Rhinolophus ferrumequinum: one gene and its partner. The protein of the gene in region 1 binds, or shares a complex with, the protein of each later gene. Links are inferred from orthologs where the notes say so. Each region holds a gene or a part of one and is shown on either strand. Other genes may lie near its edges.

Region 1 (7,985 bases):
TTCCTGTCTCCATGGCTCATGCCTTGTTCTCCACACCCAGAGTCCTCCAAGAACAAAACCCAGAATGTAGTCACCCTGCCCCCAGCTCACAAAGGCCCCACCAGCAATTTGGCCCTCAAGGTCTCTCTGGTGGTGTAGATGTTATGCCATCAGCCCTGCCATGGCTGCTCCACTCAATGATCCCAGCCCCTGCACCCAGCAGGAGAAGCCAAGGAGTCTGGTACTGATGGTGAGGTGAGAAAAAACCCGCCAGTGCTCTTCACTCCATGGCAAGCAGGTGCTCCCCTTAAGAAGAGGGTCACAGACCCTGGAAGAGGGAGCATGAAAGAAACACCCATAAACTCAAAACAAGGTGAGGAGCATGGGAAAGGGGCCAAAGGAAACTCTTAACCAGCCTCCTGTGTCCCTCATGAAACGAGGGAAGGCATGGGGACCCAACACATAGGACCTCCTCAAGCCGTGGGCACCAGTTGCTCTGGGGAGTACTCTCCTTATATGGAGCCCAGAGCAAACACACAGACTTCTCCCTTAAAGCACGGACCAGCCGTCGGAGCCCCCAAATCCAGTGGGGGGTGGACACATTTTTATTCTATATTGCCTCAACATGTCCTTTCTTCCCTCAAGGATACTGTGTGAAGAATGAAGACGTGGTGGAAAGGAAGGGGTTGTTATCCAAGTGACAAGTGACACAGGCACACTACTCTTCATGCTTTGCTCAGCAGGCTTACACACACACACACACACACACACACACACACACACAAGAAGCATCTCCACTGCAGCGAAAGTGACTTGGCACTGAGTATCTCCAGTGCCCAAGAAAAACCTCCTGGGGGTGACGGGGTGGGGAGTGTGGGGGACAGGGGAGAGACCTGCAGCTCAGCGTCGGAGGAGGTTTGAGGGGGAAGGAAAGCCAAGCAGCGTGTAGAAGAAATGCAGATGCCCCTTTTTCTCCCAACTCCCCATTCACATAATGAAACCAAATAGCCGGTTGCTTCACCAACCTCACTGCCTCCCGGTTCCCACAGAGACCAGAGGATGAATGAAAGGGTCTGAGGACATCTGCAGAAAGCACATCTAGTTGACATCTTGGAGGGGATGTGGGAAGGGAGGCCCCTTCTGGAATCGCTCTACCCCCAGTGCCTGAAATCACAGCGCACTGATTCTGTTTGGGGGAAAGTTCTGGAGCGCCTGCCTGCAGACTGCAGCGCTAATTCTTTGCTGACACCCAGCCCACCCCCGCCCCAGCCCATTCCCTTGGCTTTCTCAGGGAACAGGATAAAGAGCTTGAACTGGAGTGGTGTTTACAAGCTTCAGGATTCTTAACCCTTAGGAGTCCTTCAGAACAAGGAGGTAAAAAGGGGGAAGAAGAAAGGATTGAGGGAGGGGGATGAGCTAGGAAGAAGGGGTGGGAATCAGAGGTAAGGATTCAGAGTGAAAATTACAGAGACAGAGGGGAAAACAGAGAGAGGACGAGAGGAGAGAAAAGTGAAAGGAAAGGACGGAGAAAAAAGAGCTGGAGATCCAAGAAAAAGGGAGTGGGGGAACGAACTTTTATTGAGCCAGACGCACACATCATATTACTACCCTTCAGTATGGTTTCCCCCATGTTACACAAATGGAGAAACTGAGACGTTAAGAGACTTGTGCCACGTCAGTCCCACAGATATTGAGTGGCCAAGCATGGGTCCGCAGGGCTCAGACTCCTTCCACAAAACCTCTGACCAAAACTAACGGAGAAAAATGGACAAGAGGGAGGCGGGAGGCAGGGGGCAGGGAAAGAAGTCAAGTGCAAGAGAGAGGGTACCCTCATGAGACCTGACTTTCAGAGAGAGCGCGAGGGCAGAGGGCACCAGGCCTCCCTGGGAATCCCAGCCCTAGTCAGCCACAAGGGTCTCTTGGCTGTAGGGGATGGATTTCTCCTGTGTCTGCTCCCCGACCTTCCCTGAGTTAGGGCCGGGCCCCTGGCTGTGCCCTGAGGAGTAGCTGGCGGACTTCTCTGCACTGCTGCTGTGGGAGGCGCCCCCACACCTGCTCTGGCCCCAGCAGAGCACCGAGGTGCACGCCTGGCGGAAGCGGGGGTCAAAGAAGGCGTAGAGGAAGGGATTGAGGCAGCTGTTGATGTAGCTGATGCAGGTGCAGTAGGGGAAGACGTTCATGAGGAAGAGGTCGAAGCCGCAGGGCCAGTGCAGCAGGCTGCCCAGCATGTAGAGCGTCTTCACCAGGTGGTAGGGCGTCCAGCACAGGGCGAAGGTCACCACCAGCACCACGATGATGCTCAGCAACCGGCGCCGCTTGCGCAGGCCCTCGATGCGCTCCTTCCGGAAGTGGCCGGCGATGGTTTGCGCGATGAAGAAGTAACAGGTCAGCATGATGGTGAAGGGCACCACGAAGCCCAGGGCCGTGGACGAGACCCCCAGGCCCACCTCCCAGGCCCACTCCGAGCTGGAGGTGGCCACCATGGAGTAGTCCATGTAGCACTGCACCTTGGTGATGTTCTCCAGGTTGGGAACCACCGCGGTGGCCCGGAACACCATGACCGGCACGGCCAGGAGGGCAGCCAGCACCCACAGGACCGCTGTGGCCACAGCCCCGCTGACCCGCAGCCTCAGCCGAGCGTTGGCCACTGGCCTCACGATGGCCAGGTAACGGTCGAAGCTGAGGCCGGTGAGGCAGAAGACGCTGGCGTACATGTTGACAAAAATGAGATAGCTGCTGAGTTTGCAGGCGAAGGAACCGAAGGGCCAGTCGTAGTCCCGGTACGTGTAAGTGGCCCACAGAGGCAGGGTCACCACGAAAGTCAGATCAGCCACCGCCAGGCTGGAGATGAAGATATCAGCCGAGCGCCTCTTCTCCCTGCTGGTCCGAAACACGGTCCAGAGCACCAGGCCGTTGCCCGTGGTGCCCAGGAGGAAGACCAGCATGTAGATGGCCGGGATGAGGGCCCCTGAGGATTTCCAGTCCGTGTACTCACACTCAGACTGGTTGTCTGCCCCATAATCATTGTCGAAATCTCCACCTTCCTCCATGCTGGGGGGCAGAGAGAAGCCGAGCAGGGGATCCCCCAGGCAACCAGCTCGGTGGCTGTGTCACCAACTCAGCAAGCGCCCAGAGCTTCTGGCTTGAGCCTTGGAAGGAAGGCGGGTGCAAAAGGGCCGAAGGTGTCCTGAGCCCTTCCCAGCAGCGGGAGGAGGATGCCTGCTTCTGCAGATTTCCCTCCAGCCTCTCCTGCCTTGCCCCAGCCTCAGCTAAGACACTTCCTGCGCCCTCCTGAGTCTCTGTCTCCTCCTTGACTCGTCACTCCCTCCTCCCACCTACAGACCAACCCCTCACTTGTGAGTCTTAAGATATTTCAGTTACAACCCACTTTTCTTTTTCCTTCTTGTCACTGGGCAAGTGGCAGAATGTTATCTGTGCCTTGCAGCCAGCTCTTCTCCTGGCTCCGCCTCTATCCCTCTGGTTTCCTCTGGTCTTTGGAGTGCCCCCTCCTCAACCCTCCTGTTCTCACCTCCTCCCATCCCCTCTAAATGGGGCAAATTATGCAGATTGAAATCCAGCCTGAGCTGGAGCCAGGGAGGGCAGGGGGCTAGGAGAGTGTGAGATTTCGCAGGATGATCTGAGCATCTGGCAAGCCCTCCTGGCAGGCGGGTCTGGCCCCTTGGGTCTGTCCTACCCTCCCCTCTTTCCCTCCCAGACTTCACTTTACTCTTCTGCTCACGTCACGCTGCTTTACCCCTGGGCTTTGACCCTCTCTCTGGGAACATTTATATTTTACAGACACAGTTATAGGGCAATTTCTCTAGAATTCATAAGCTGTTGGCAGATAGAAGTTTGCAGATGGCATAGAAAGTTTTAGAAAGTCAGGAGAGAGTCACAGGACAAAAGAAACCCCAGACAAAAGGATCTCTAATCAAGTCATTAAATCTATGGGGAAACTGAGGCCCAAGGTCGCAGGATGAATTTTGTTCCAGTTTTGTTGTTTGCTTTTCTTCTTCTCCAAGCACCTAACACAGGGCCTGGCGTGTAGTAGGCGATCACTAAGGGAGAGAATGAAAAGAGGAGCCCATAGATAGAGAAAAGAGAATATGGATTACTATGCAGTGAGAACATGGATACATTTCAATCCTCAGGTTCTTACTACATGGACCAGGTTTCTTTACAGCCGTATGGGGACCAGACGTGACAACTAGAGGAAGAGGCAGAGAAAAGGGCAGTCGCTGAGTCGATGCCGTGGGCACAGTCACATAGAAACGCACATTGCCCTGTCTGCCTACCTCTCCAGGACCTCTTGGCAGGAAGAGGGGAGGGCTGCACAAGATAAGATAAAAAATATGCACATGCCCTCCCCACCCCAAGAATGGAGGAGGCGATCTAAAGTTGGGCAGGGGTGAGATGAAGCAAAATCAGGAGACGAGTCTTGCCTACATCCAAAGCGAAGGGTTTACAAAACGAGAATCCATTGTCTCAAGAGAGGTTTAGTCAGAAAATCTTCTGCAGAGGTCACAAAGCAGGAACCCCAAACTCAAATACCCGCAGAGACCAGGCTAAGAATGTAGACGGGTGAAACAGGCAGTTTGAGACAATAAGGAGTGGTGGAGACTGTGCGCAAACACACTCCATCGAAAGGAGGCCTCCTCAGCTCCCATCTCTGATTGCCAGCATTTCCGTGCCTTATGGTTTTCTTGACAAAACTTTAAATTCTGGATTTCATGAGAAATTTCCAGATTTGTAAATGTGGGAAATTAATTCCATTTTTAAAAAGATAGGGCAGCACAAGGAAAACATGTCCTCAGGCCCCTCCCTATTCAGTGCCCTTTGAACAGGAATAGAAAGTGAGAGGAAAACAGGGAGGGTAGGCCAGGAGGAAGAAATATAAAATGCAAAGATAGAGAAATTATAATAAGCATGGTCAAAGCCTTAGGGTGCAATGGAGGGACTACAGGAGAGGAGGCTGGAGAGAAAGATGAGAAAGGTCCGAGGGTCTTGGATGGCTTTTACCTGAAGGCAGTGTGTGAATGAGAACACGTTGGTATTCCTCATGAGGATTATATATGGAGCAGTTACTACATGCTAGACATTCTTCTGAACATGTTATATTTTATACTGTGTTCCCCCGAAAATAAGACCTAGCCAGACCATCAGCTCTAATGCATCTTTTGGAGCAAAAATTAATATAAGACCCGGTCTTATATTACATTATATTATATAAGACCCGGTCTAATATTACAGTAAAATAAGACCAGTTCTAATATTAATTTTTGCTCCAAAAGATGCATTAGAGTTGATTGTCCAGCTAGGTCTTATTTTGGGGGAAACACGGTACGTATTTATTTCTTTTAACTGGCAAAACTATTTTAGTAAGTAAGTACTCTCATTCATCTCAATTTACTGATGAGGAAGCTGAGGCACAAGGAAGTGAAACAACTTGTGGTCACCCAGCTAGTAATTTGCAGAATCAGAATTTGAACCAAGGCTGTCTTGAGTTCATGGATTCAAGCACTGTGTTCCCAAAGAAAAAAAAAACTCCAACCCTTTTTAGATTGGGGCATTTGTCATCTGTTGAGCATTATAGAAATGTAGGACAAAAGATTTATACAATCTAAAGAGAAACCAGAGTAGAGTTTCTGCTGAAAAGTCTGATGATAGTTTAATGGGCTTTCCCTTATCGATTACTGCTATTTTTCCCCTGGCCGCCTTGAGAATTCTTTCTTTGCCAATTGCAGCATTATATACAGTGGCCAGGACGTGGAAACAACCAAAGTGTCCTTCGATAGATGAATGGATAAGGAATATGTGGTATATATACGCAATGGAATACTATTCTGCCATAAGAAAAGATGAAATACTGCCATTTGCGACAACATGGATGAATCTTGAGATTATATGCTAAGTGAAATAAGTCAGACAGAAAAAGTTGAGAACCATATGACTTCACTCATATGTGGGATATAAAACTGAAAACAACAAAGGAAAAAAACAAAGAAAGAAAGAAACAAAAATTCATAGACACAGCAAATAGTTTAGTGGTTACCAGAGGGTAATGGGGGGTGGAGGGTGGTAGAAGAGGGTAAAGGGGGTCAAACATATGGTGACGGAAGGAGAACTGACTCTGGGTGGTGAGCACACAATGTGATATATAAATGATGTATTATAGAAGTGCACACTTGAAACCTACGTAATTTTACTAACCATTATCACCCCAATAAATTTAATTTAGAAAGAAAGAAAGAAAGAAAGAAAGAAAGAAAGAAAGAAAGAAAGAAAGAAAGAAAGAAAGAAAGAAAGAAAGAAAGAAAGAAAGAAAGAAAGAAAGAAAAAGTGTAGGAGAGTGCAAGGATACCCATAATTTTGAAATGAGCTCTTTGGGGTGAAATTAAAAATGGATTGATTAAAATACTTCAGAGAGACTCCCTACTCTTGATTGAATAGGGTGTAAGAGCCCTGCCAGACAACAATAGTCTGTACGGTACCCTTACAGTTAGCACCATAGCTCGATCCAGAAACTGCCCTGTTCCTTGCCATTCCCAAAGACGGTTCTTGGTTGCCTGATGCCAGCCCAGCCTCTGGAACCTTGGCAGTCTGCAAAATGCCGGTCGGGACACCGAATAGGACCCAGGACCCAGAGCTGGAGCTTCATGGATCTCACAGTACACAGGGTAGTGATGCCTGGGGCCTGCTTGCTCCCACATGTTTGTCTAATAGAAGCCTATGCAGGTGGCAGAATGGCTGTCATTATAACCTGACAGCAGGCTCGGGTGGCAGATGTTCAAGTTCAACCCCTCAGACTTCTTCAAGCTGGACTTATCAAAAGGGACCTTAGAGTTGAGCAGGAACCTGTTTGGCTCAGGTCAGCTCACAATTGATGTGCCTGTAATGAATTAAAATAACTGCTCAGGACATTCCCGGATAAAAGCCAAATTTGAGACCCCCAGGGAATCCAGATCTTCTCTGCTTCTCCAAGGAAGATTTAGGTACCCCTGCCCTTTGCAGCTAGGAGCATAGACATGCGGGGAGCAAGTGAGCTCAGGGTGTCCCCAAAATCAGGTTCCTCCCCTCAGCTGTACCCATTTGGATCCTGAGCCAGATGGAGACCCCGTAGAAGAGGATATAGATCCACCTCCTTAATCCTCTAGCCTCAGACTCTCTGCCTCCCAGGAGGTAAGAAGTTGTTAATCTCACCAAAGGAACCAGACTGGCTGAAATGAGAGGGAATGGGAGGCCAAGGCTGGGAGGGACCCCTGACTGAGGCCAGAGGAGATACAGTATAGATAAGATCCTGCCTCCAGCCAAGAACCTGCTGGAACCAGATGGCCTGAGTGCCCCCAGCCTGCAATCAGCCAGCCTCACTCCTCACCCAGCCTCATACCCAAGGCCCCTGTCCATCCAACGCAGAAGATGCCAGTTCGGTCAATAGGACGAGTAGCTGGAGGCAGACCTTATGTGCCCCCAGAGTCCAGAAGTTAGCCCTCCCCGGACAGAGAGTACCTGGGAAGAAGCGGCTTTTCACCTCTGTGCCCCCTAGACTTGGCACCTGGTAAATGCCTATTGAATTAAAGCCATAGGAGGCACTTAGGAAAAGGATGTGAAAGGCTGGTCTGCACCCCAAGGCTGCTCCCCTGCATTCACAAAGGCAACTTTTTGCTAAATTGATCCAGAATAATCTACCCTGAGCCATCTGGCAAACCAGCAGCTAGGGCAGGACTGTCAGCCAGTGTCCCCTGGGCTGGCCTACCCTGGAGAGGCCAAGCAGGTTTCCCGGGGAACTTCTCTCTCTCCTGGGTGATTTCTGAGGGTATTGTGATGAGCCTGAGATGAACAGCTCCTGGCAGGACAGGGCCCCAGACATGCCACAGGGGCTTTGAGGACAGCCCAGACTGCTGGGGCACCTCTGGAGTCAGTGAGTCAGTAGCCCTCACCCACCCCACCCCCAGGTTGGTTCCTGGCCTGAAAAGCAGAGACAGGCTTGGCTTTGTGCCTGTAGCTGT
Region 2 (7,066 bases), on another chromosome or scaffold:
TTTAAAGCCCACACAAGTGCTCTGTTGGGGACCTTGTTGGCTATGTCTCCTCCACTGTTCGGGTGTGCTGCATGTGTCTCCAGGATGAGCCCCTCTCCTTTTCCTGCCTGGCCCCCCACCACAGTGTCCTAAGGGATCTTCCCAGGCCATCTTTGCTGCCCTTGCAGCCTGGACCTCCACTTCACTTGCATTACTCCTTTGCCACCCTGTGAGACCTGACTCAGGTTACATGGGTGCTTAGCACATAGGGATTGGGGATAGAGTGTTGATTCCCACTCCTTGAGCAGGAGGAGTATAGTAGGCTGTCCTCACATTATCACTGTGACTGCAGGCTTTGAGCTGGGGCTGGGAAGGGGGAGGAGAAGGAGAGAAAGAGAGGTGCTCAGACAAAGACCAAGGGACACTTGGCCCCAGCTCAGCAACTCTCAGACTCAGAAGAGCAAAGTGCGTCCCAGGTCAAGAGGCAGTGGAGGAGTATGTGTGTGCTGTGTGGGGGAGGAGGGACATTCCAAGTCAGGACAGAGTGTGTTGTGGAGGAAGCATGGTTTTCAGGCCCAGGACTCTCACTGGGGACTCTGTGTGGGAAGAGCACGCAAGTCTGGGCCAAGGGTAACGTGATTCTGGGGATCCTGTTTCTGACCCAAGACAGAAGGCAGAAGGAAGATTGCATGGGTACCTGGATCCTTGGCTGGTTGCCACCTGTACAGAGGTGCCCTTCCTCAGCTCCAGGAGAGATCATGGGGTGGAGAAGTGGCAGTGGGAGCCTTGGAAGTTTCCTGTGCTAGACTTAAGCAAAATGTGAGAGCAACAAATTTACCCAAGTCAGAGTGTGAAGATAGATGATACGATGAAGAAGGGTGAATCAAAGCAAGAAGAGTCAGGGTCTGGGCCAGACACAGTGTTCCCTAACCAACTCTCCCCTTTACCAGTACTTCCCTAACAACTGGACCCCAAAAGGGTTCTAGTGGAGGTCACTTGGCCTCCGGGGGAGCACCAGGTATGCAGATCAGGTAGCTCCAGCTTCCTCTGGGATGTCCTTTCTGCATCTACTCTTTCTTCCCTGAAGGCACCACCTTGGACTGTTTGCCAGTAATGGTATCGGGTGGCTATCTTGTCCTGCCAACTGCATGGATGGCAGGCTCATGGAGGGCAGACCCAGGTAGTTCCTTTCATTCATATTTCTTGCTTTCTTCCTGCCATTGCCTGTCTGACTAGGAATTTCTAAGGAAAAAGCCTGCTCCCTTCTTACCAAAGAGGTGGCTTGACCCAGCACTTAGGCCCTGAGAGGAAGACCATTGGTGATGGCAGTGTGATGCCACACCCAACTGATATACCTTCCTAAAAAGCCAGGGCCAGAGCAGTGCCAAAGGACAAGAGCTGACAAAGGAGGAGGCCTACAAAGAGAGAGAGGTGGAGCCCCACCAGGCCCCTCAGAGGCTCCTGGGCTGCAGACCATGCTCCTGCTCTGGAGGATCTGGAACCAAGTGGGGTCCTTTGCCTTTCCTCTAAGAAACTTGTTGCCCTGCCCTCTCCTCCCCTCTGCTCCAACCTCCTTGGGACTCCAGCCCTGGCACTGGCATTAGTTCACCTGGTCTTGGCCTTTCCTTCTGCGGTGCCAGGCAGGCAGCTGTGACAGCCAGATCACAGGACTGTGGCAGGTAGAGGTGGGAGCTGGCAGCCCCAAGAGACACTGACACAGAGGCCAGGCAGGCCAGGCTGGGGCTGCTGGGTCATGAGTGGAGAACAGGTTTGGGGAGGGCGAGTGAGCACCAATCCCAAGTATGCCAGGTGGGGGGTGTGATGCAGGTGGGGGCAAAAGAACTCCCCTTCCCTGAGCTGAATGGAGATGTTAGTCAGGCACGCTTTCCTGGTTTAGTGCCTGAGACAGGGGTACTAAGGTGAAACATGCCTGTGTCTAGGCCAGAGGGGAGGCCTGAGCCAGGATATGGAAGAACAGCCTGTGGGCCTCCTGTGCAGGAGCAGAACAGACCAGACAGGACCTTGGGGTAAGGTAGACCAGCCTGGCCTGGCCCTGCTGGGCTAGGCCAGGGGGAGGCTGCCTTTGCTCACATGCAAGCTGAAGGGAGCAATAGTTGGGCTCCCTGTCGCTGCCCCCTCCGCATTCTCCAGCCTATGCAACAAGTGTCACGTCTGCATCTTGGCACATTATCCCCAGTGGCTTCTGCCCCGGTACGGGCCAGCAGTTCCTAACCTTCAGGGGCCAAAAACCTTCAAGGCGGGAGCCTAGCCCACCGGACTCAGGTCAGTGCCCTCCATCGATCCATGAGGGGAGCGGGATATGGCCCCTACCACCCTCCACCATGTGGGACATGGGGCGCGGGACACTGGGTGCACTCCTGCGGCCCTGACCTCCTGAGACTGCTAGCAGCGGCCAGGAGGGGCGAGACGCAGAGCGGATGATGCCCGAGGCCGCAGCCGGCTGGTCCCTAGCCGGGGGGCGTCCTGTCAGTTGACTGCCCGGTGCAGCCGACCCGTATCTGCTCCTGCCCTGCGGGCGCCGGGCTTCCGCAGGCGGAGAGCGCGCGGGTGGGGCGGAGGGTAGGGAGCGCGGCGGCGTCAGCCCGAGAGCGGCTAGGGGAGCGCGGGCGGGCGGGAGGAGCGCACTCACCTCCACACACCGCGGTCAGGGAGAGCCACAACAGCAGGAGCGCTAGCACGCAGAACCGCAGATTCATGCTGCTCCTCCAGCCACCACACCGCGGCCCTGGCCAGGGGACAGGGAGGCGGAGAGGCCCAGCGCCCGCAGGCCAAGAAAGGCGCGAGCTGCGGCTGGTGCCGGCGGGTGGGCGCTGAGGTTGCCGGGCTCCTGGGCCGCACCGCAGGCTGGCCAGCCGTGGGTGCTCTCCGGCTCCACTCGCCTTCAGCCTCCCACTCCTGCGCGGGCAGCGCCGCCAAGCTGGCCTCAGCGGCTCCGGTGGCAGTGGCGAACTCTTTCCAAGAGGCTAGCTGCTCGGCGGAGGCTCTAGCTGCCCGAGGTCCAGACTGCCAGCGAGAATGCTGCTTGCTCACTCCAGGGGCTGCATTTTGTAGCTTGTGGCTTGGCCTCGAGCCCACTTGGTCATGTGGTCATCCGGAGGGCTGGAGGGAGAGCCAGGAAGACCGAGAGGGGCGAGCATCCCGCACCTCCCCACTCTGGGCACGCAGTCTGTGGCCCCAGCCAGGGCGCTAGAGGGAACCTGGAGGTAGCCCCACAACAAAGGCTGCACTGCAGCTCCAGCAACCACAATCGCTCCCCGAACAATGCCCGCCTGGCTGGGAGCCAGAGGGTTTGGGAGACCTGAAGGATTTCAAACATAGAAAGCATTTGGGGGCGGTGGAGGGGCACACTTAACCGTTTCTCACCTGACTTCCTTAATAGTTGTCAAGGAACCCAGGTGCTCTGGGAAGGACCCCGCCCAGGCTGCCCCCACTCACCCACAGCATCTCTGACCCTCTCCTTTCCCTGCCCATCCGCAGCAACAGGGCTTGTCCAAGACGACCCCACACTGGCCCTCCTCTCTTTTCTGCAACACAAACTGGGTTTGAGTTGGAGATTATTGCCCAGACTTGTGCCTAAGACTGCTTCATTGCCCAGTGACCCGAGGAGGCATCCTCTACCTGGAATGGCCCCACCCAGCCCATCCTGCCCGAGAGTTCTTCATTCTTGCAGCGGCACTTCAAATCCCATCTTATTCAGATAACAATATTCCAGGAGGGGCTGCCCCTGGGTTCCTCCTGGCTTTGGGACATACAGCAGCTCCTGTGGTGTCCCCTTTTTTGTTCCCCATCATTAAGAGAGGAGGACGGTTTGCCCGACTCCAACAGTCTAGACTGGATTCATTATACATGTCCTTCGGATTCCCCTTTGTAAGTGGGTCGTGAAGTTATTTGCCTTCCCAGACTAGACTGTTGGTTCCTACAGCCTTGGAGCTCACAAAGGAAGGGAATACCTTGATCACCGGACTGGGAAACCCCTAAGATTGGATCCTGTCTGCTCTTTCTTCTGCATCTCTCTGAAGTCCCCAATATCTAACTCTGCACATAGGTGGCACTCAACACATGTTAAAAGACTAAACTGAAAGGTGTTTCCACATTTCGGCTGGCCAGGAAGTTTGCTTGAAATGCAATTCCATATTTACACAAAAGATAGATTGGACAGTGCGTAATGTATGCCACGGTATATTTAAAATATGTTTGAAATGTTAATACAATTCAGTACATACACAATTTATTACCAATCTCCCTCCATCGTAATTGTCAGCTCCACAAGAAAGAGATTTCCACCTTGTTCACAGCTGTATCCCCAAATCTAGAACAGTGCCTGGGGCATAGTGCTCAACACATAATTTTGAATATATAAATAATTTTTTCAAAAACATCCCTTTTGCCTAAATCAAGGTAGTGGGAAGGGAATAAAATAGCCACAGTCCAATAGGAAAAAGGCAGAGATGTGAAGCAGAGCACCTCTTCATCTGTGAGGCCCAGGCTGTGAGCAGCGGGCATTAGTAGCAGGAGATCATTTCCCCATGCTGTCCCCCTAGAAAAAAATCTTCCAAATAGGAGGAAAAACACCTGGCCTCTAGTCCACACCCTTATCTGCTGTAAGGCCATGATATCATTACTAAAATTTACCGGGTCTCATGGGGATGATCATCTCCACCCTACCCTCTTCAGGGTTGCTATGGGATTTAATGAGATAATGTACCTAAAGGCACGGTACCAATAGGAATAAACCCTTGTAGAGTCACTGCTCCAACCCCTGATTCAGTAAGCCCATGCACCCCCAAATGAGTGCCCCACGTAACTAGGCTAATAGAATCACTCATATGTAATTACACCATTACTAGGGTGTGTAGGGGTTATTTGCTAAATGGTTAGAGCTGTGCTTTCCAATCTAGTAGATACTAACAATGTTTAAAATAAAATGAAAAAAAATCATTTCCTCAGTCACACTGGCCACATTTTCATTGCTCAGTAGCCACATGTGATATTGGACAGCACAGAATAGAACCTTCCAATCATTGCAGAAAATTCTATCAGTGGCAAAGTCAGGACTGGAATGAATTATAACAGTGTTGAATCATAACACCTTATTCATTCTTCCTTTCTCTAAATCCTTTCCCCCACCTATCTTAGCCTTCAAAATGCACAAGGGGAAAAAATACAACTAACCAAGTGTTCAAGGCAAGCAACATTCAGTAAATAGAAGGCATGGATTTAGAGCAAGATTTAAAGAGCTGAACATATGAGAGAATCATGTTTTAATCTAATCTTTCTTTCCATTTAACCAAATTGCATCCATTTTTCCAGTCCCAGATCCAAGATCTCATCTTCCTTCTTTCTCAGGCCATTCTTGCTCATGGTGATTTTGCCCACTTTGTAACAGCTATAGCTGTACCTTTCATTGGCAGTTACTTTTGCAATGTGTTGGGAGCACTTTCGTGTCTGCACGCTGTGCCCTGTGGGCCTATGGAGAAGGTCCTCCACCAGCTTACCCATTCTGGAAGTGAGGCTCATGAGGCAAGGAATGCAACCCTGATTAATCACTCTGAAACCCCCGTGGGCATATTCAAATGACCCCAACAGTATATTCAAATGACCAGTTTTCATATCTGTCTCCACTCACTGAGATTTGAGAAGCAAATTCTCACTGCTCTGGGACCATATATCCCTTTATTTGCACTTCTAATGCCTTACTCATACTGTCTTGGATCAAATTAGGAAGCAGTGAGTCATAGTGCTTAAGCACGTGTATTCTGGAATAAGGCAGCTCTGTCACTTACTACATAGGTAACTTTGGGTAAATTATTTGCCCTTTCTGAGACTTGGGTTCCTCATCCGAAAAAGGGTTAGTACCTAGCTACCTGGGTTATTGGAAGGATTAAATAAATCAGTACCTATAAGGTACTTGACACAGTGCTTGGCTCTTCTGGTAAGGCAAGCATTGTATAAATGTTACATATTCTCATAAATATTTGTGTATATGTCTTACCAACACTATGAGATAGTAAGACTATGTGTTCTCACCAGCAGTGCTGGTACCCAAAGCCAATAATAAATGTTCATTGAAGGAACTGTATAGTCATACTAATAATCACATGTTTATGATATATATCAAGTGTCCTTAATTGGATACTTTTATTTGGGTAAAATCATCACAATTTGTCCAACAGATTCTTAGATGGGTCAATGCCAATAGTTAGAAATATGAGATAGGACAATTAAGTTCGCGAACTCATCCTAGACAAAGTGCTACATGCCTCATTGCTGAATATCATTACAGTCACCTTCGAAGTACTCCCCTTGGGAAGCTATACACCGAGGCCAGTGCCTAGTCCACCCTTCAAAGCAATTTTGGAACCCTTTTTCTGGAATAGCCATCAGAGCTGTCATCATATTACCCTTGACATCCTGAATGTCATTAAAATGTCTTCCTTTTGGGGCAGCCAGTTAGCTCAGCTGGTTAGAACATGGTGCTCTTAACAACAAGGTTTCTGGTTCAGTCCCCACATGGGCCACTGTGAGCTGTGCCCTCCACAACTTGATTGAAACAACTACTTGACTTGGAGCTAATGGGTCCTGGAAAAACACACTTAAAATTAAAAAAAAAAAAGTCTTCCTTTCAATATTTCCTTTATCTTTGGGTAAAAAAAGAAGTAATCGGGGGCCAGATCAGGTGAGTAAGGAGGGTGTTCCAATACAATCATTTGTTTACTGGCTATAAACTCCCTCACAGACAGTGCCATGTGAGCTGGTGCATTGTCCTGATGCAAGAGCCATGAATTGTTGGCAAAAAGTTCAGGTTGTCTAACTTTTTCACACAGCCTTTTCAGCACTTCCAAGTAGTCCATTTGGTTTACTGTTTGTCCAGTTGGTACAAATTCATAATGAATAATCCCTCTGATATTAAAAAAAAAGGGTAGCAACATCATTGCAACAAGTTCGCGAACTTAATTGTCCGACCTTCATAACAAACATGTGAACTCTCCTTACACCCAATTGTGCAGTGGCTGTTTTTACTGGAGTAATGTAAAAAGTGGAGTGGGAAGAGAACATCTGGAGAATG

Evidence for each region.
Region 2: the proteins of APLNR (region 1) and APLN are in contact, whole or in part, in a cryo-EM structure (PDB 8XZG), measured with the Homo sapiens proteins. The link is inferred for Rhinolophus ferrumequinum from reciprocal best matches to the Homo sapiens genes APLNR and APLN. Residues at the interface, in NP_005152.1 of Homo sapiens: Tyr35, Phe78, Trp85, Tyr88, Thr89, Tyr93, Ser106, Ile109, Phe110, Met113, Pro163, Val164, Arg168, Gln180, Cys181, Tyr182, Met183, Tyr185, Glu194, Glu198, Leu201, Gly202, Ser205, Tyr264, Lys268, Tyr271, Ser275, Cys281, Asp284, Leu285; in NP_059109.3 of Homo sapiens: Arg66, Pro67, Arg68, Leu69, Ser70, His71, Lys72, Gly73, Pro74, Met75, Pro76, Phe77.

What each region holds. Positions count from the first base shown.
Region 1 is NC_046294.1:11,827,095-11,835,079, reverse strand, and holds the start of APLNR (apelin receptor), read right to left. Parts: upstream 3,258-7,985; 5' UTR 3,030-3,257; coding exon 1,878-3,029; 3' UTR 1-1,877. UniProt on the Homo sapiens protein: G protein-coupled receptor for peptide hormones apelin (APLN) and apelin receptor early endogenous ligand (APELA/ELA), that plays a role in the regulation of normal cardiovascular function and fluid homeostasis.
Region 2 is NC_046284.1:26,308,811-26,315,876, reverse strand, and holds the start of APLN (apelin), read right to left. Parts: upstream 3,005-7,066; 5' UTR 2,697-3,004; coding exon 2,630-2,696; intron 1-2,629. UniProt on the Homo sapiens protein: Peptide hormone that functions as endogenous ligand for the G-protein-coupled apelin receptor (APLNR/APJ), that plays a role in cadiovascular homeostasis. Functions as a balanced agonist activating both G(i) protein pathway and beta-arrestin pathway of APLNR.